2 linked regions of the Notamacropus eugenii genome follow. Each later gene encodes a partner of the first gene's protein in a complex. Links are inferred from orthologs where the notes say so. Each region holds a gene or a part of one and is shown in the gene's direction. Other genes may lie near its edges.

What was found.
Region 2: RBM48 (region 1) and ARMC7 share a complex: the UniProt entries of both Homo sapiens proteins name them as parts of the minor spliceosome. The link is inferred for Notamacropus eugenii from reciprocal best matches to the Homo sapiens genes RBM48 and ARMC7.

Annotation. Positions count from the first base shown.
Region 1 is NC_092874.1:47,881,915-47,890,338, reverse strand, and holds the start of RBM48 (RNA-binding protein 48), read left to right. Parts: upstream 1-3,675; 5' UTR 3,676-3,715; coding exon 3,716-3,850; intron 3,851-8,077; coding exon 8,078-8,268; intron 8,269-8,424. Other genes in the region: peroxisomal ATPase PEX1, read right to left, coding at 3,057-3,188. UniProt on the Homo sapiens protein: As a component of the minor spliceosome, involved in the splicing of U12-type introns in pre-mRNAs.
Region 2 is NC_092873.1:341,060,880-341,069,303, forward strand, and holds the start of ARMC7 (armadillo repeat-containing protein 7), read left to right. Parts: upstream 1-2,499; 5' UTR 2,500-2,587; exon of another isoform or gene 2,588-2,687; intron 2,688-2,689; exon of another isoform or gene 2,690-2,861; intron 2,862-3,045; exon of another isoform or gene 3,046-3,136; intron 3,137-6,377; 5' UTR 6,378-6,445; coding exon 6,446-6,536; intron 6,537-8,424. UniProt on the Homo sapiens protein: As a component of the minor spliceosome, involved in the splicing of U12-type introns in pre-mRNAs.

The DNA of each region.
Region 1 (8,424 bases):
TTCTGGAGATCCCTAAATATAATGTGTCTAAGACCACAGCTGAACTGAGGCCTTCCTGACTGAGCCTAGCACTCTATCCATTGCATCACCTAAGTCTAAGCTATTAAAGTCACACAGGCATTAAGAGGCCGAGGCAAGACTGAACCCAGGTGCTCCAGCTAAATAAACAAGTGCTCTTCACATTGTTCCATGCTGCCTTTACCTGCATCACGGACGGACGCCACTACTAGAAGCTTACAGACAGGAAAAATGTCACCAGCACCAGCAACCTCTACTACTACTACAACAGACTACTAGCATCTGTGAGAACCCAAAGGGAGGCTGCTGGTCCTATTCCTGCTGAGTTGTGATCCTAACAGCATGATTATGTTGCACACTCCCTTTGGTAAAATGCAAGGGGAGCTCTGTACTTGAAATTTGGTGACAGTGGCAATCTTCTCCAGTATACTTCCTATAATCACAGAATGTTGTTTTTCTTTGGGGAGTAGGGGGTTTTTTCTTCTACATCAGTAGACTCATGAAATTCAACACTTTTTGGCACTGTGAAAGACACCAAGATGAATATTGAAGTCCTTGCCCTCAAACTGCCTCTAGTAACGGTTCCTAACTATTCTGATTGGAAATCTATGAAAACAGAATTTGAAGGCAATGTGGTAAGGAAACGAAGACACAGAGAGCACTGACCCAAAAGTCTTAATGAAGATTTAGAATCTTTTTTTTTTTTTTCCTTTTCCAGATTTATTTTCTGTTCTAAAGTATGGCATTCAACAAATTGTAAAAGTTCTTTCTCAATGCTATTCAATGTATATTTTTGAAAAAAAATCATATGTAAAAAATAAGTACAGAATAAATCAAACACACTAGCTGCAGAACTTTCCTGATATTTTTCCTTCTTGTGTGAAGATTTAGAATCTTAATGCAGATTTAAGCTATGAAAGATTAAAAACTTTAAGTTACTGAAGCTTAAAACTGAACTAAGATTTTTGGAATATCCTGAATATGACTCAAAGACTACTTCCAAAAAGCTTACAATCTATTAGTCCTGGCTCATACAACAGACCAGTGGTTCTCAAAGTGTGGGTCTAGGACATAAGAGTCTCCAAAACCAATTAAAAAAAACTAAGTTTATTAACCTATGAGGTTAAAACTATTTTCATAATAATACTGATGTTTTAGTTTCTGATATGCCAAACATAGATATAACCCACATGAATAAAAGCTCTTAGGGAAGGGTCCTCAGTATTTTTTAAGACTATAAAGAGGTTCCGAGACTAAAAAGTTTCAGAATCCCTGCTACAGGCCATTTGAGGGCAAAAACTGTTATCTTCATTTTTATATCTTTCACAGTGGTTCATTATAAATAAGCAGCATTCAAATGTGCAGACTCAACTGAATGAATTTGCTGAATGCTAAGGCCTCACATAGGATAGCTCTAGATTTGTGGGTTTTTTCCTTTTTATCTTAATCTAATTCACCACTTCCACCCTAATTCCTAGCCAGAAGGAACCTTAACAGATTCCTAAGTCAATCCTCCCACCTGTCCTAAGGAGCACAGCGAATTTGCTTCTTCACAGCACAGTTTTCAGGTGTCTAAATGACAAAAATCACAGAATTTGAAAGTTAGAAGAAGCTACAGAATACACTTAGTCCAACCCAGACCTAGACAGAAATCCTCTCTACAATATCCTCAATAAGTGGTTTATCGAAGAATTATCATGAAAGAGAATCCACTATTTCCCTACACAAGCCAATGGGGTAACTAATTTTGAGAGGTTTTCCTTACATCAAAACTTACATCAGTATTATCATTTTTCAAATGGAAGCTTTGAGATGTGCCTGGTAGGGTTTTTATTCAATCAACATTGATACATGTTTTGTCAAATGATTAACATAAAGTCAGGAATAGCAGTAATTAACTTAAAGAGGATGATTAAAGTGAAGGCTTCCTACTTCATGAAATTATTTGGGAGCACAATCAGTACTAAATAGATTATAAATTTATACATTATAATACACAAATGTGAATTTATGTATTACAATATGAATGCAAATTCATTACGAATATATGAATATAAATTGATATTAAATATAGGATTTAAAAAATATGTAAGGGCAGCTAGGTGGAAAGACTCATCTTCAGGGATTCAAATGTGGCCTCAGATACTTAACTAGCTGACCCCGGGGAAGTCACTTAACACTATTTGCCTCCGTTTCCTCATTTGCTAAATGAGCTGAAAAGAAGGAAATAGCAAACCACTTCAGTACAGTTGCCAAGAAAACCCCCAATGGAGTCAGAAATGATAAAGATAACATATTAAACAGAGGACTTTTAAATACATAATTCACACAAGATCACAAAGGAAGCCATTTACACTGAAACAGTTACCCAAACCTATGTTTCCAAGGTTCGGGAAGCCCTGCCTGGGTCAGCACTAACCAGGTGGTGCCGCAGCCTGGGCTGAGCCCCGACCCCGGACGAGTGATTTCATCTGTCGGCTTCGGTTTCCTCGCATGTAAACAGAGATAATAATAACACCACCGGGGAGTGACTCGGCGGGTCTAGACCGAAGGAGGGAAAGGGGGCCAGCCGAGACAAAGCCTCAAGTTACACTCCAGCAGGTTCGCCGCAATAGCGCGACCCCGTGCCTTGGCTGCCTCTGGACCCGGGGACATGGGCACGGCACCCCGGGTAACCCTGAGTCCCCAAGGGCGAGGACTCCGAGGAAAGGGGCGGCTGCACCGCCCGGGGAGGGCCCTCGAGGGGTCTGGCAGTGACCTTGCGCCTCATCCCGCGGCTGAGAGCACCGCGGCTGCGGGCCGGGCCCGTCACCCGGGCGGTGGGCAGGAGACCACGAAGAGCGGTCCGAAAGGGCAGGCCCACGGCCGCGATCACCGCCACAGGCAGCATTTGAACCCAGGTCATTTCTAGACCTAATTTCGCGGCTCCAGGAGGCTCCAGTGGCTCAGGCCGAGCAGCCCGGCCTCGGGGGCCCTTCCCGGCAGGCCTCGCGGCGGGGGGGAGGGGGCGCAACTTGGAGGCCTCCTGAGCGCGTTACCTGCTGGAGGTGCAGCTGGGCCACGAGCGCCCGCGGCAAGTGGAGGAAGCAGTCCCGGGCGTGAGAGAAGGCGATGGTGACGGCCACGACCCCTCCAGCCCCGGCGCCCTCGAGACGGCCACCGCCCCACATCGCGAGCGAGCGAGTGAGCCAGAGAGCCAGAGACTGACGGGGCAGAGCACCGATCCGCGCCAGGCAGGAGGCGTCGAGCGCCGAGAGGATCGATCGACAACCACCACCCCCGGCAGCCTACTCGCCCTAGCGTCGCGAGGGGCGGGACTACCGAGCCTCGTTACCGCGCCGCCACAAGACGGCGCCTTCTCGCTTTCTCCATCCCCTCCGGAAGCGTCAACGAGCGCCATCCGTACTCGAGCCAATCCTAGGACGTCGCTGCCTGCCTGACTCTCTGATTGGATGAGAGGGATAGGGGTCAGGCGGAAGCGGTTAACTTGGAAGGAAGGCCTAGTGGGAAAGGATGGCGGACGGCGGAGGGGAGCTGGGTGGCTATTACCCTCACCATGCGCAGCGGGCTGTTTGTGACTCGCGGGCCAAGTATCGGGAGGGGCGGAGGCCCCGCGCCGTTAAGGTGAGAGAGAAACCCCCGGGCACCCCGGCTTCCTCTGGCCAGGAGCGCCCGGTGAGGCTTAGGTAGTGGCTAGATGGGCGGACCGCGGAGCTGCTGTGTTCGGCTACGGTGCCCGGGCCGTGGAAGAGGGACGAGTCCGGTCGGGCCGCAGTCGCCGGCCGGGATTCGAGCTCAGAGAGATCAAGCCCCGCCGAACCTCCCTAAGTTGGTAGGGTCAGTTGACTGGACGGTTCTGTCATCAGCGCAGCCTGGAGAGGGGAGGGCAGGCGACAGCGCTGTCATTCCCGTTTTGTGGATGAGGAGACCGAGTCCCGCGGCTACAAGTGTCTGAGTCTGGATTCAGAACCGGCTCTGCCCCCATCCCGCTCCTTCCCTCCCTGCGTCCTTGTCCGCTCCCTCACACACACACCGTACACACACACACACACCACACACACACCACACACACACACCGTACACACACACACACCGTACACACACACACACCGTACACACACACACACCGTACACACACACACACCGTACACACACACACACACCGTACACACACACACCACACACACACACACACACACACCGTACACACACACACACCGTACACACACACACCGTACACACACACACACCGTACACACACACACACCGTACACACACACACACACCGTACACACACACACCACACACACACACACACACACACCGTACACACACACACACACACACACACACCGTACACACACGCACACCACACACACACACCGTACACACACACACACACACACCGTACACACACACCACACACACACACACACCATACACACACACACCATACACACACACACACACACCATACACACACACACCATACACACACACACCATACACACACCATACACACACACCACACACACACACACCATACACACACACCATACACACACATCACACACACACACCACACACACACACCATACACACACCACACACACCAAATACACACACACCACACACACACCATACACACACACACACCATACACACACACACCATACACACACACACACCATACACACACACACCATACACACACACACACACACCCCGTACACACACACACACCATATACACACACACACACCCCGTACACACACACACCACACACACACACACACACACACACCATACACACACACACCATACACACACACACACACACCGTACACACACACCATACACACACACACACCATACACACACACACACACACACACACCATACACACACACACCATACACACACCATACACACACACCACACACACACACACCATACACACACACCATACACACACATCACACACACACACCACACACACACACCATACACACACCACACACACCAAATACACACACACCACACACACCAAATACACACACACCACACACACCATACACACACACACACCATACACACACACACCATACACACACACACCATACACACACACACACACCCCGTACACACACACACCATACACACACACACACACCATACACACACACACCATACACACACACACCATACACACACACACACACACACCATACACACACACACACCATACACACACACACACCATACACACACACACACCATACACACACGCACACACCATACACACACGCACACACCATACACACACACACCATACACACACACCACACACACACACACCATACACACACACCATACACACACATCACACACACACACCACACACACACCATACACACACCACACACACCAAATACACACACACCACACACACACCGTACACACACACATACCACACACACACACCACACACACACACACACACACACCATCCAATCCACCCTCTCCAGGAAGGCATCCCCACTATAACACACCCACCCACCTGGGGTCATTTAACTTTTGTCCTGAAGACCCCCATCCACCTGGGCAAGCCGCTCTACTTGTTAGGAAGCATCAAACCTACTTTTGCAGCTCCCACCCATTGATTCTGCTTTTTCTCCCTTAGGCCAAACAGAACAAATATAATCCTTTTACATGACAGCTCTTTAAATACTTTCACACAGTTGTCCAGCCACAGTCACTAAACATTTACACAAAGCCTACTGCTGTGTGCCAGGTACTTTGCTAAGTTAGGGGATGTTTTCAGGGACTTCACAATCTAATGGCAGTGACAACATACAAACAAATGTGTACAAACAAACCTACAGGATAAATTGGAGATATCTCAGAGGGAGGACTAGAATTAAGGATGGAGAAAGGCTTCCTGTAGGAGGTGAAATTTTAGCTGCGACTTGAAGTTAGGAAGCACAGATGAGAAGAGAGCATTATTAGTCTTTTTCTTCACAGCAACACTTTTCAGATGCTCAGATCCTCTCCCTGCTTTCTAAACAGTCCAGGTCAGTCTGCTCAAGGAGATGTGTGAAGAACAGGTGTATAAAGATAAGCAGGGCTCTGGGGAGAAACTTCCCCTTCTACTATGCCAAAAGATCCATAGTCCATTAGTATGTTGAAAATCTCAGATTACTAGAAACAAAGTAGAGCTGTCATCGATTGGGGAATAGGCAGACAAATTGTGCTGCACAAATGGACTGTTACTATGCTGCAAAACGTGAATGACTACAGAGAGGAATGGGAAGATGTGAACGGAGGTAGAGTGAAGCAAGCAGGACCAGGAAGGCATATCAATGGACTGCAACACTAATTAATGGAAAGTACATCCCTTAAACTAAATATTGCAAAATTATAATGACCAAACTTAACCCCAAAGAAGAGAGAACATACCATTCTTTGTAGAGGTCAGTGTGGAACAGTACGTATAGTGCCCTACTTTTTCAAATGGTGGTTAATTTTGCCAAACTCTTTTTATTCTGTATTATTTGGGATTGCTCCCAAGGAAGAAAAAGAAGGGATACATGGGAAATTGTAGGTGTTATACAAGCAAAATATATCAACAAAATTTTACTTTAAAGAAAAACCTACAGCTTGTAAATATTCATGGTTTTGGATTTACATAGTGTTTTCTTCTCTAGGGCTCAAATTGACCTGTGGATTCATTCAGCTTTCAAATGTAGGAAAATATATTGAGCCTACTCTAACATGAATAATGGAAATTCATAGATAATTCACAATCCCCATTGTAAGTCTTTAGTCTAAAGACAAGTGTTTGCAGGTTTATTCTTGTTAAACTAGAGGTTCTTAAACATTTTTGTGTAATGGATCCCTTTAGCAGTCTGGTAGGGCCTTTAAAGCCCTTTTCAGAATGTTTTTGTTGCCTGTATTCACAATTGAAGGAAATGCTAACTTTCAATTGCAAGTTAGTAAAAAAAATAAAGATGCAAATTTTTTTTTCCCCACCCAAATTTACAAACCTCTAAAACCTATCCCAGGAAGCCATGGGCTAAGAACCTTTATGTTAAACTAATAGAATGGAGCCTGCTTTTGTTAATAGACCTTCTGATGTAGCTGAAGAACATCACATAGGAACATCAGAGTCATTAACCCAGTGATGTGACCCTAGACCTTCCTTGGGTCTCAGTTTCCTCTTCTGTAAAGTGAAGCACATGACTGGATAGATTCTGAAGTCTCTTTATGCCCTCAAAAGACTGGCAATAATAGCAGTTTTAGCTTATCTCACTTGCCTTTAAATCCTGCTTAGATTTATGCCAGATGAGTAGTAAAGCATCATGGTTATATATGTTAATACTTGTCTGTTTTTACATACATCACAAAGTCAGTGAGTTAAATATATTTTAAAACACTACATAGAAGGGATTTGTTATTCTGTGGTTGGTCAAAGCATAGTAGTTGGTAAATTACTTTCAAGGCTGGACTTTATCCTGGTTAAACTTTATTGTGAAAATTTTAGGTACCACATGAGGAAAATAAATTGGACTTTGCCCAAAGGAATGTGAGTGCGATAGTGAAGAAACTGGACATTATGTCATGTTAAGGATTGGCTGAAGAAAAGATGGGGAAGGGGAGGAGCAGGAGCAATATGGTAGCTGTGTTCTGCTACTTCAAGGCCTGCTGCCATTTCGGGGAGGAATTTTGCTGACCCCAAAGAGTAGAACTAGGAGCAATGAGCAGAAGTAAGAGACAGGAAGATCTTAGTTCCCTATGAGGAGAATTTTCTTTATAGCCCTGTCCTGAAGTGAAATGATTAGCCTCAGAAAAGTAATCAAGTTCCCCCATAACTATAGACCTTTAAAAGAGATTGGACAATTACACATCAGAGGTACTATAGAGATTATTCCTGCTTTGGTATGGGTTGGGCCAGATGAGCTCTGAATTCTTTTCTAACTCAGAGATTCTGTAATAAATATAAGGGCAGAGCTATTCAAGAAAAGTATGAAAAATATGAATACATCTATATTTCCTTTAGGTTTATACAGTCAATTTGGAATCTCGATACTTAATCATTCAAGGAGTTCCTGCAGTGGGAGTTATGAAGGAACTGATCGAGCAGTTTGCATTATTTGGTGCTATTGAACAATATAATGCTCTAGACGAGTATCCAGCAGAAGAATTTACAGAGGTGTATCTAATTAAATTTCAAAAATTACAAAGTGCAAGGTAATGTGGATGCCTGTCAGAGTTCTTTCTCTTTATCACCACCCTAGCCCAAGATTTAGCTGTATTCACACCTAGACTTCACAAAAATCCTGTACTTTTAGACCCATTTTAAAGTATTTCCTCTATAAAGCTCTCCCCAGTTTCAACCCATATTAA
Region 2 (8,424 bases), on another chromosome or scaffold:
GCCGCCTCATGGGCTCAGTTCCCTCAGGGGATTTATGCGGAGACCTTCAACAATGGATCCAGGCTCCTGCCTGCTTGGGGAGCCCGGGTCTGCTCCCGCCTCCGCTGTTGCCTTCCGAGGGGGCCTGAGTATGGGGGCACCCCACTCCCCTCTCAACCCACCAAAGAGACCTTCTCACCGACCCCCGTCACCTGTGGGTGGAGGGACCCGCGTGGCCGCTGGAGATCCCGTCCCTGAAGTCCGCTTGGATCTGTTCCTCTCGTTGCTGGGGCCCGTGCAGGGCTGGGCTGGGCTCCGCGTCCGCAGCGCGACGGACCTTTTGCAAGAGGTTTGCAGGTCCCTCTGGAACAGAAATCTTATCCGCTCCACTATTATGTGGCTTCTCCTGCTCCCGAATTTATTGGCGGCTCTTTACTACGGATATTTCATGGGCTGTGGGTTCGGAGCTAGCGTATTTGTGTGTTTCTACTCCGCCATCTTGGCTCCACCCCCACAAGAGTTTTTTAATAGGTAACAAACCTAGGTCATTTTCTGAGGAGAAAGAGTAAGTATCTCTTAAGGTGTGGTTCATTGTGTAAAATGCTGCAGACAGGTCAATAATAATGACTGGGGAAAGTTCATCAGTTTTGGTTGCTATTTGTCCTTTGTTCTGGAAGACAGGAAGTGATGCCATGACATGCAAGTTGTGTGGGATGGCTCAGGTCCCTACATAAATCAATTACTCAGAGGCCTCTCAAAGTGATGACAGAAAAGTGATTTATTCGTTTCTCAAGAAGAGGGGCTTACCTGTAGGAGTAGGAAAGCCGAAGACAAAGAAAAGGGCAGTGATTTATATAGACCCTAACGCAAGTCCCTCCTCCCCACCACTGACCGTTATCCTCATTAGCTGAGAATATGGTCTTACATTCTAGACACGAAATCTAACCAATCCCTTTTGAAATGAAGACATTGAGGAATTATGTAAGTTTTGTCCAATCATTGAGACCCTAATACACTACACAGTTTTATATCCTTATATGGAACTATTCTATTCTAAAAATATTGTAACCTTGAGCCTTTAGGCCTTACCTCACCCCTGGGAGAAAAATTACAATCTGAGGAGTCTTCAGTAAGTCTATCCCACTCAAAGTGAATTGGATTTAAGTGAGGCAGGGCTGTGCAAAGTCACCAGCCTCACTTTCTTCCCAGAGCCATCTCAGTCCAGTGGCAAGATGCTGTATTTGTCCTTCACTTTTGAAGACAACCATGTTGTGTTTGTCCTTCATTTCCGAATACCATGCCATCAGAGAAACGATGACATGATCTGCACTTGACTTTGTTTTGAGTGAGGGAAGGATGGGCAAGGTCATCAGCCTCACTTCCTCCTCCTGAGCCATCTGGGTCCAATAGCCAGATATTCATCAGGATGACTGGAGGTGGGCCAGGATGCAATGGGAGACCCTGGCCTTTTTTAGGCTAAGGCTTTTTTCAGCTACTTTTTTCAGAGTGAGGTAATGCCCATTCAATGAATAGACCTCTTTAAGAAGTCAATCAAAGGATGGTCCCCTTAATTAGAAAAAAAGATAAATTCAAGCTGAGAGGGGAAGACCCTCAGGGTTGCTGTTCCAAAGAGAGTTACCATTGATATTAAGCCAGGAAGGTCTTAAATGCAACCTTGAAGTGAAGCCTGGGCAGAGACCTATTGTGCTCCCCATTCATGAGCCTCAGAGTGAGCTGGGTTGAAGGTTTTGTGAAAGAGAGACAAGAAAGAAGGAAATCTAGCCAGTAAACTCCAAGTTAACTGGGCAAGACATACATCAGGATGACTGGAGATGGCCTTTGATGCAGTGGAAGGCTGGCCTTTTCAAGCTAAGGTCTTTCCCAGGTCTCAATTTGACTAAGGTGAGGCAGAGAATGTCCTCTTTCACCTAGTTAAAAAAAAAATCAATCTGGGAGGGGAAGACCCTCTAGCCAAAACAGAAACAACTGCTATTCACATTCATTCTGAGCCATTCGGGGCTTGGCCTGGGGCCTTCTGTTGGCCAATCAAGGAGAGCCAGAGTGGACTTGCATGCCTTGACATCCTTAGAAACTCTGAAAAGAACAGTTTAGGTTGAGAGAGTAGTCAGCGGTTACTGGAGAACCCCAGGGAGACTGGAAGGATAGTGGTACTCCAACAGAAGTGGGGGTGTTCAGGGGAGGTGTGGGTCTTTGGGGGGGGGATAGACAACAATGAGATCAAATTTCATATCTGCACCAGTCCATATTAACTACTTTTTCCAACAAAAACAAAAAAGGCAAAGAGGCATGTACAGGAATGAGATCTTACCCTTGATGGCCCCAGCTGGCAGAGCTCACCTGTTGAAAGGTTTTGGGTGTGAGGATGGGTGGGGGATGGGCGGCCAGGAATTGTGCCTTCCAACTGCAGAGCATCCATGACCTGCCCAAGTTTAGGTTATAATAGCGCTCCCCGCCTCCCTCCGCTCCACCGGCCCCGCCTCCCGCTGGGATCGGCCAAGGGCGGAGCCTGGCCACGCCCCTTCCGCCGCTGGGGGCGGGGTCAACACCGCCTTCCGCTCTGGAGGAACTGCCGTGCAGAGCGGGCGCGGTAGGTGCAGAGAGCTGGGGGCCGTGGTCGCGGGGTCCCTGCAAAGCAGCTTCTCTTGTCTCCAGGTCAATCTCGAAACGACAGAGCGCGGTGACTTCCGGTGTGTGAAGCCCCGCCCTCGTCCCCCATAGTGAGATTTAAGGAAGTCGAGGCAGGATGCCTGAAACTCGGGGGATTGTTTTGGTGGCGTTACCTTGGTCCGTACGGAGGCCGTGTGTGCTGGGGAGAAGGGCCTGCTGCGGAACCCTGGCTCTGGAAGCCTGGGCCACGTTCAGTCAGTCAACCAGCATTTATTATGCGCCTACTCTGCGACGCCTTGGGCATGGCGTATGGGGGAGGGGAATATACCTATACATGACGTAATACAGAGGGGGGAACGACCCTCTGGGAGCTCACTTACATTGGGGGGTGGGGCGGTGGCGGAGGACATGTTTACGTAAATGTATACAAAACAATTAGTGTTCACCTGGGCGAGGGGAGTCAAGGAAGCAAGTGCAAGAGGGAGATACGAGGAGTGCCCGAAGGCAGGCCGGTGCAGAGCGAAGGCAGGTTAGGCGTTTATTGAGCTCGTACTGTGTGCCAGACTCAGGGATAAGCGCAGAAGGTACAGTGTAACAGAGAACGTGCAAGTTGCAACTTTGTGCAAACGATGTTCTCTGGATGAAGTGGAGATGATCCCAGAAGGGAGCGCCCAGGAAAGGCTTCTTGAAAGTGGGGTTTTAGTGTAAGGAAGTCAGGAGACAGAGATGAAGAGGAAAAAAATTACAAGCGTTGGGAACTCATCAGGAAAATGCACTGATTGAGGAGATGGAAGGTCATGTGGCCAATATCATTGGATTACAGAGTATGTGAGGGGAGAAAGGCATAGGAAGATAAAGGTAGGAAAGGGCCAGGTTGTGAAGGGATTTAAAAGCCAACCAGAGGGTTTTATATTTGATCCTGGACATGCTTTCTTGTGTTTGTCCTTTGTTTTCGAAGAGGACTATGATAATCAGAAATGATGACATGAGTTGCATTTGATATGGTGCCACTTGACTCCTCATTGACATGGTCACACCTTCCCTTTAGGAAGATGACTGGCAGCTGAGTGCAAGATGGACTAGAGTGAGGAGAGATTTGAGATAGGGATACCAACAGGCTTTCTAAATAGCCCATAGTATGAAGGGATGAGGGCCTACACCAGAGCAGAGGAGAGAAAGGGATATGTAGGAGAGATGCTCTAACACTAGAATTGATTGGACTTAACAACTGGTTGAATATGATGGGTGATAGGAGTCAAAGATAACACCTAGGTTTCAATTCTGGATAACTGATAGGATGGTGCTGCCCCCAAACAAGAATAGGGAAATTAGGAGTTCTGTTTGGGATATGCTTTGAGATGTCTCCAGCACGTCTAGTTTGAAACATCCAGTAGGCAGTTGGAGATACAAGTCAAGAATTCAGGAATGAGAGTAGGACCAGATATATGGGTCTATAGATAAGGTTTATCTGCATGTAGATGATAATTAATCCTATAAGAACAGTTGAGGTCACCAAGTGAGATTGTAGAGAGAGAAAAGGGCTCAAGGACAAAGTTTTGAGGTATACCAGCTGGGGGAATGGGATGGATGATGACCCAGAAAAGGAGATTTTGAAAAGAGGTGGTCATATAAAGAGGGAAACTGAGGGCAGGTTCATGAAAACCCAGAGAGGAGAGTGTATCCAGGAGGAAAGAGTGGCCAACACAGTTTCAGTCCCTGCAGAGAAGTAAAGAAGGGTGAGAATTGGAAAAAAAAAAAAACTATTGGATTTGACAGTTAGGAGATCACTTGACAACTTTGGAGAGAGCCTTTGCAATTGAATGACAAGGTTAGAGGCCACATTGCCAAAAGCAGAGAATGTGGAGGCCATGAGTGTTTAAAAATCAGCCTACAATGATTAATAATTGTATGACGTTGGATAAGTCACTTACCTCCATAGACTTCATCTGTAAAATAAGAGGGGGGGGAGTGTGGGCGGGGGTTGAATGACATAATTCCTAAAGTCTCTTCCAGCTCTATCATTGATCCTCTTTGTTACCTGCAGTGGCATATTGGTGGGAGCACTGAGTTGGGGCATCAGGACCCTTTTGGCCCTGGACTTCAGCTCTTTCATATGAAGTATTTGTAAACGACTTAGCACAGCTAGCACACTTAATAAACACTTGTTTCCTTCTCTCTTCCACTCTTTTTCTCCTTCCCTCTCTCCTTTCCTTCCTCACTCCCTCCCTTCTGCCCTCCCGTTTTTCTTCCCTCTTTCCTCCCTTCTTCCCTCCTTTCCTTCCTCCCTTCTATCTTCTCTCTCTTTCTCCCTCCCTTCTCTTCCTTCCTGCCTTCCTTCCTCTCTCCCTTTTTCTTTCCTCTCTCCTTCCCTTCCTTCTCTCCCTTCATTCCTTCCATCCATCCTATCTCCCTCTCTCCCTCTTTTCCTCTCTCCTTCCCTTTCTTCCTCCTTTTCTTCCTTCCACCTCCCTCCCTCCCTTTTTTATGTCCTTTCTCCTTCTCTTCTTCCTTCCCTCCCTTCCAACATCTCTCCCTGCCTCTCTCCTTTTTATCCTGCCTTTTTCCTTCACTCCTTCCTCCCTCCCTTCCTTCTTTTCTCCCTTTCTTCCTCTCCCTTCCTCCTTTCCTTCATTTTAGGGGCATGTGTCACATAGATGACTTAAATGGATGATGTTTGCTTGTCCATCTCTGAGCATTTCTGTGAACGTGCCCTTCACTGATCCAAATTGCAATCCATCCTTACCTTATCCTGTGCAATTCTTTACCTTGGTCTCTCCTACATTCTCTAGAGGGATGGAGTACAATAATATTGGAGACCTTCTAGGTCTCTGACATTAAATGGTACCAGTGTAGCACTGAAACCATACAGTTATTATCTTCCAATCGCGTACATGACTGGCCCACCACCTTCTCCTGTTATCAGTCCTGATTATAGTTTTTCAACTATTAAAGTTTTATTGATGGTTTTTGCTTTCATATCACATTGATTTCCACACATGGCCCTCGTTTTCCATACCCATCATACCTTGTGACAAGAATCTAAAAGGAAGAAATACTCAGCAAAACCATCCAATTCTACAACCATTTCTGATGGCAGTATTCTTCATCCATAATCCCTCATCTTTCAACAAAAGGAGGAAGGTGCATTTTCTCATCTTTTGTCTGGGGCCAGTATTGGTCGTTATAATTATACAACATTGTTTCATTTTATTGTTCTTTTTGCTTATATTGTTGTAGTGGTTATTTATATTAATTTCCTGTTTCTTCATCTTTGATGATTTTTACACATTTTTGTGCACCACTCATTCCTTATCATATGACATAATCTTTATACACCTCCCTCTCCATTTGCCCTTTGGGTTACATGAAGTTTTAATTTTAGTAATAATAGTAATTGATATCACTCATTGATTGATGACTGACAGTGCTTTCAGAATTGCAAATTGCTTACATACCTAATCCCATTTAAGACAACAATCTGGTGAGGTGGGATTGTGTTGGTTCATGATTTTGTCACTTGCTGGAGAAATAATGGTTTTTAAGTGAGGTTTTTCTTTTAGGGAGCAAGCTTGTGGTCATAAAACACTGAGGTTTCCAAATAGAGTTTAACTTACTTTCTTAGTCAGTTCTGGGTCCGTCTAATCTGCCATGCCTGTCTGGGGTATGTATACAGAGGGACCACAGCTGTCCATTCCACTGTGTAAGAGCCTAGGGCAGCGGCTCTCACCTTTGCCCTTTTCCTTCATGATGTTTTCTGTATTTCTTTACAGATGGTCTGCCCGTCTGACTCTGCTGCTTATTCATAAACATCTGGTAAGGTGACCAGGACACCTTGGTCATGAACCCAAAGCCTCGAGCTGTTCCAGAGGGAGGACGGCTGGAATACCTGCAGGCACTGGTCACAGAGTTCCAGGAGACAGCAAGCCAAGGTGAGAGAGGGGGGACAGTCAAACCCAGGTCCTTCGTCCTCAGCTGGCATGCTTTGCTTCCTACTCCCCCCCAAAAAAAAAACAGCTCACATGCCATTTATTATTTTAATGTTTTTGTTACAAATTAGACTTCATTGTTGTCCTTCATTCTTTAAGGGGACCAAAATAATGTCACTATGTTGGAGTCAAGATAGAATGTGTCCCACTGTGGTTGATCAAACTAATATGACCTCAGAAGGCTCTACCACAGGCAGGGCACAAATAGTCCACGTGAACATTTAGAGTGAAGATGTTTCCAAATTTGTGCATCTCATGTTTCTTTTGAGCTACTGTAGCGCAGCACATAGAATACAGGGCCTGGAGTCAGGAAGACCTGAGTTCAAATGTGGCCTCAGGCACTCATTTTGTGACCCTGAGCAAATCATTTAACCCTTTTTGCCTCAGTTTCCTCATCTTTTAAATGAGCTGGAGAAAGAAATGGCAAATCCACTCTAATATTTTTTGCCAAGAAAAGACCAAATGGAGTCATAAAGAGTCAGACACCACTGAACAACAACAAATACAAATTAGACACATACTGGCTGGAAGACCTAGCAACTCCCTAAGACTATAAAGTGTAGCACAAGTACCAAACTGTCTTGGTGGAGTAAGTTTGTCACTAGAAATTTCCTGCATTGAAATCACAGATCTGGTCCCTGTGCCTTATTCCAGAAATAAGGAGGTATATGATGTATATGAAACATCAGCAGTTCTATGTTTATTACGCAATTTCCATTCTGTCAGAAAGAAAAACAAATCTCCACTAGTGGGGCTGTCACCTTTTTAATATTTTGTTAGGGTTTTTTTTTTCTCAACCAAAACCATGTCTTTAAATTAAAAAACAGAAACAGAAAACAATAGTAACATACTTTCTGACAAATGAGTTTCTTTCATTTTATATATATATATATATTTTTTTTTTTTCATTTTATATATCCCCACTATAACACACCTAACAAGTACTCACCCAGCCTCCACTTGAAGACCTCCAAGGAGGGAGAACCTAGTACCTCCCAAGGGAGGCCTTGCCACTTTGAGGTGCCTCTCATTGTTTTTCCTGACATTGAGTCTGAACTGGTCCCTTTGCAATGTCTACCCTTTTCTCCTTGTTCTGTCCTCTCAGGTCAAACAAGATAAACCTTATTCCTCTTCATTTTAACAGCCTTTCAAATACTTGAATCATGTCTGACCCTCCATTCCCCTACCCTCCACCACCACCCCCTTTCTGCTTACTCTACCAAGTCTTCTACACCTTAAATATGTCAGGTTCCTTCAGGTGGCCATATGTCATGAACTCAGTACCTTTCAGCCTCCTGGTTGGCCTCCTCTGGTCACTCCAACTTATCAACATCCTTCTTAAAACAGGACACCCCGAACTGAATGTACTGGAACACATCTGGATTATGCCAGATAAGGTCTGACAAGGACAGAGTACAGTGACACTATCACCTCCCTGTTCTTGGGAGCTATGCCCCAATTAATGCATCCCAAGATCACATTAAGCTTTTTTTGGTTGCTGACTCAGACTTCACTTGTACTAAAACCCCCAGATCTTTTCCAGACTGCTGTCTAATTGTGCCTACCTGTACTAAAATTGACTTTTTTGGTACCCAAGTGCAAGATTCTACATTTGTATTTTTTGAATTTTGTCTTAGTAATGATTCAGCCCAATGCTCTAGCTTGTCAAGATTTCTTTTGGATCCTGACTCTGTCATCCATTGTATTAAGTATCTCTCCCACCTTAGTGTCCCTTGAAAATTTAATGAGGATATCATCTAGGATTTTTTTCCAAGTCATTGCTAAAAATGTTATTGGTACAGTCCCAAACACAGACCCTGGGGTACTCCAC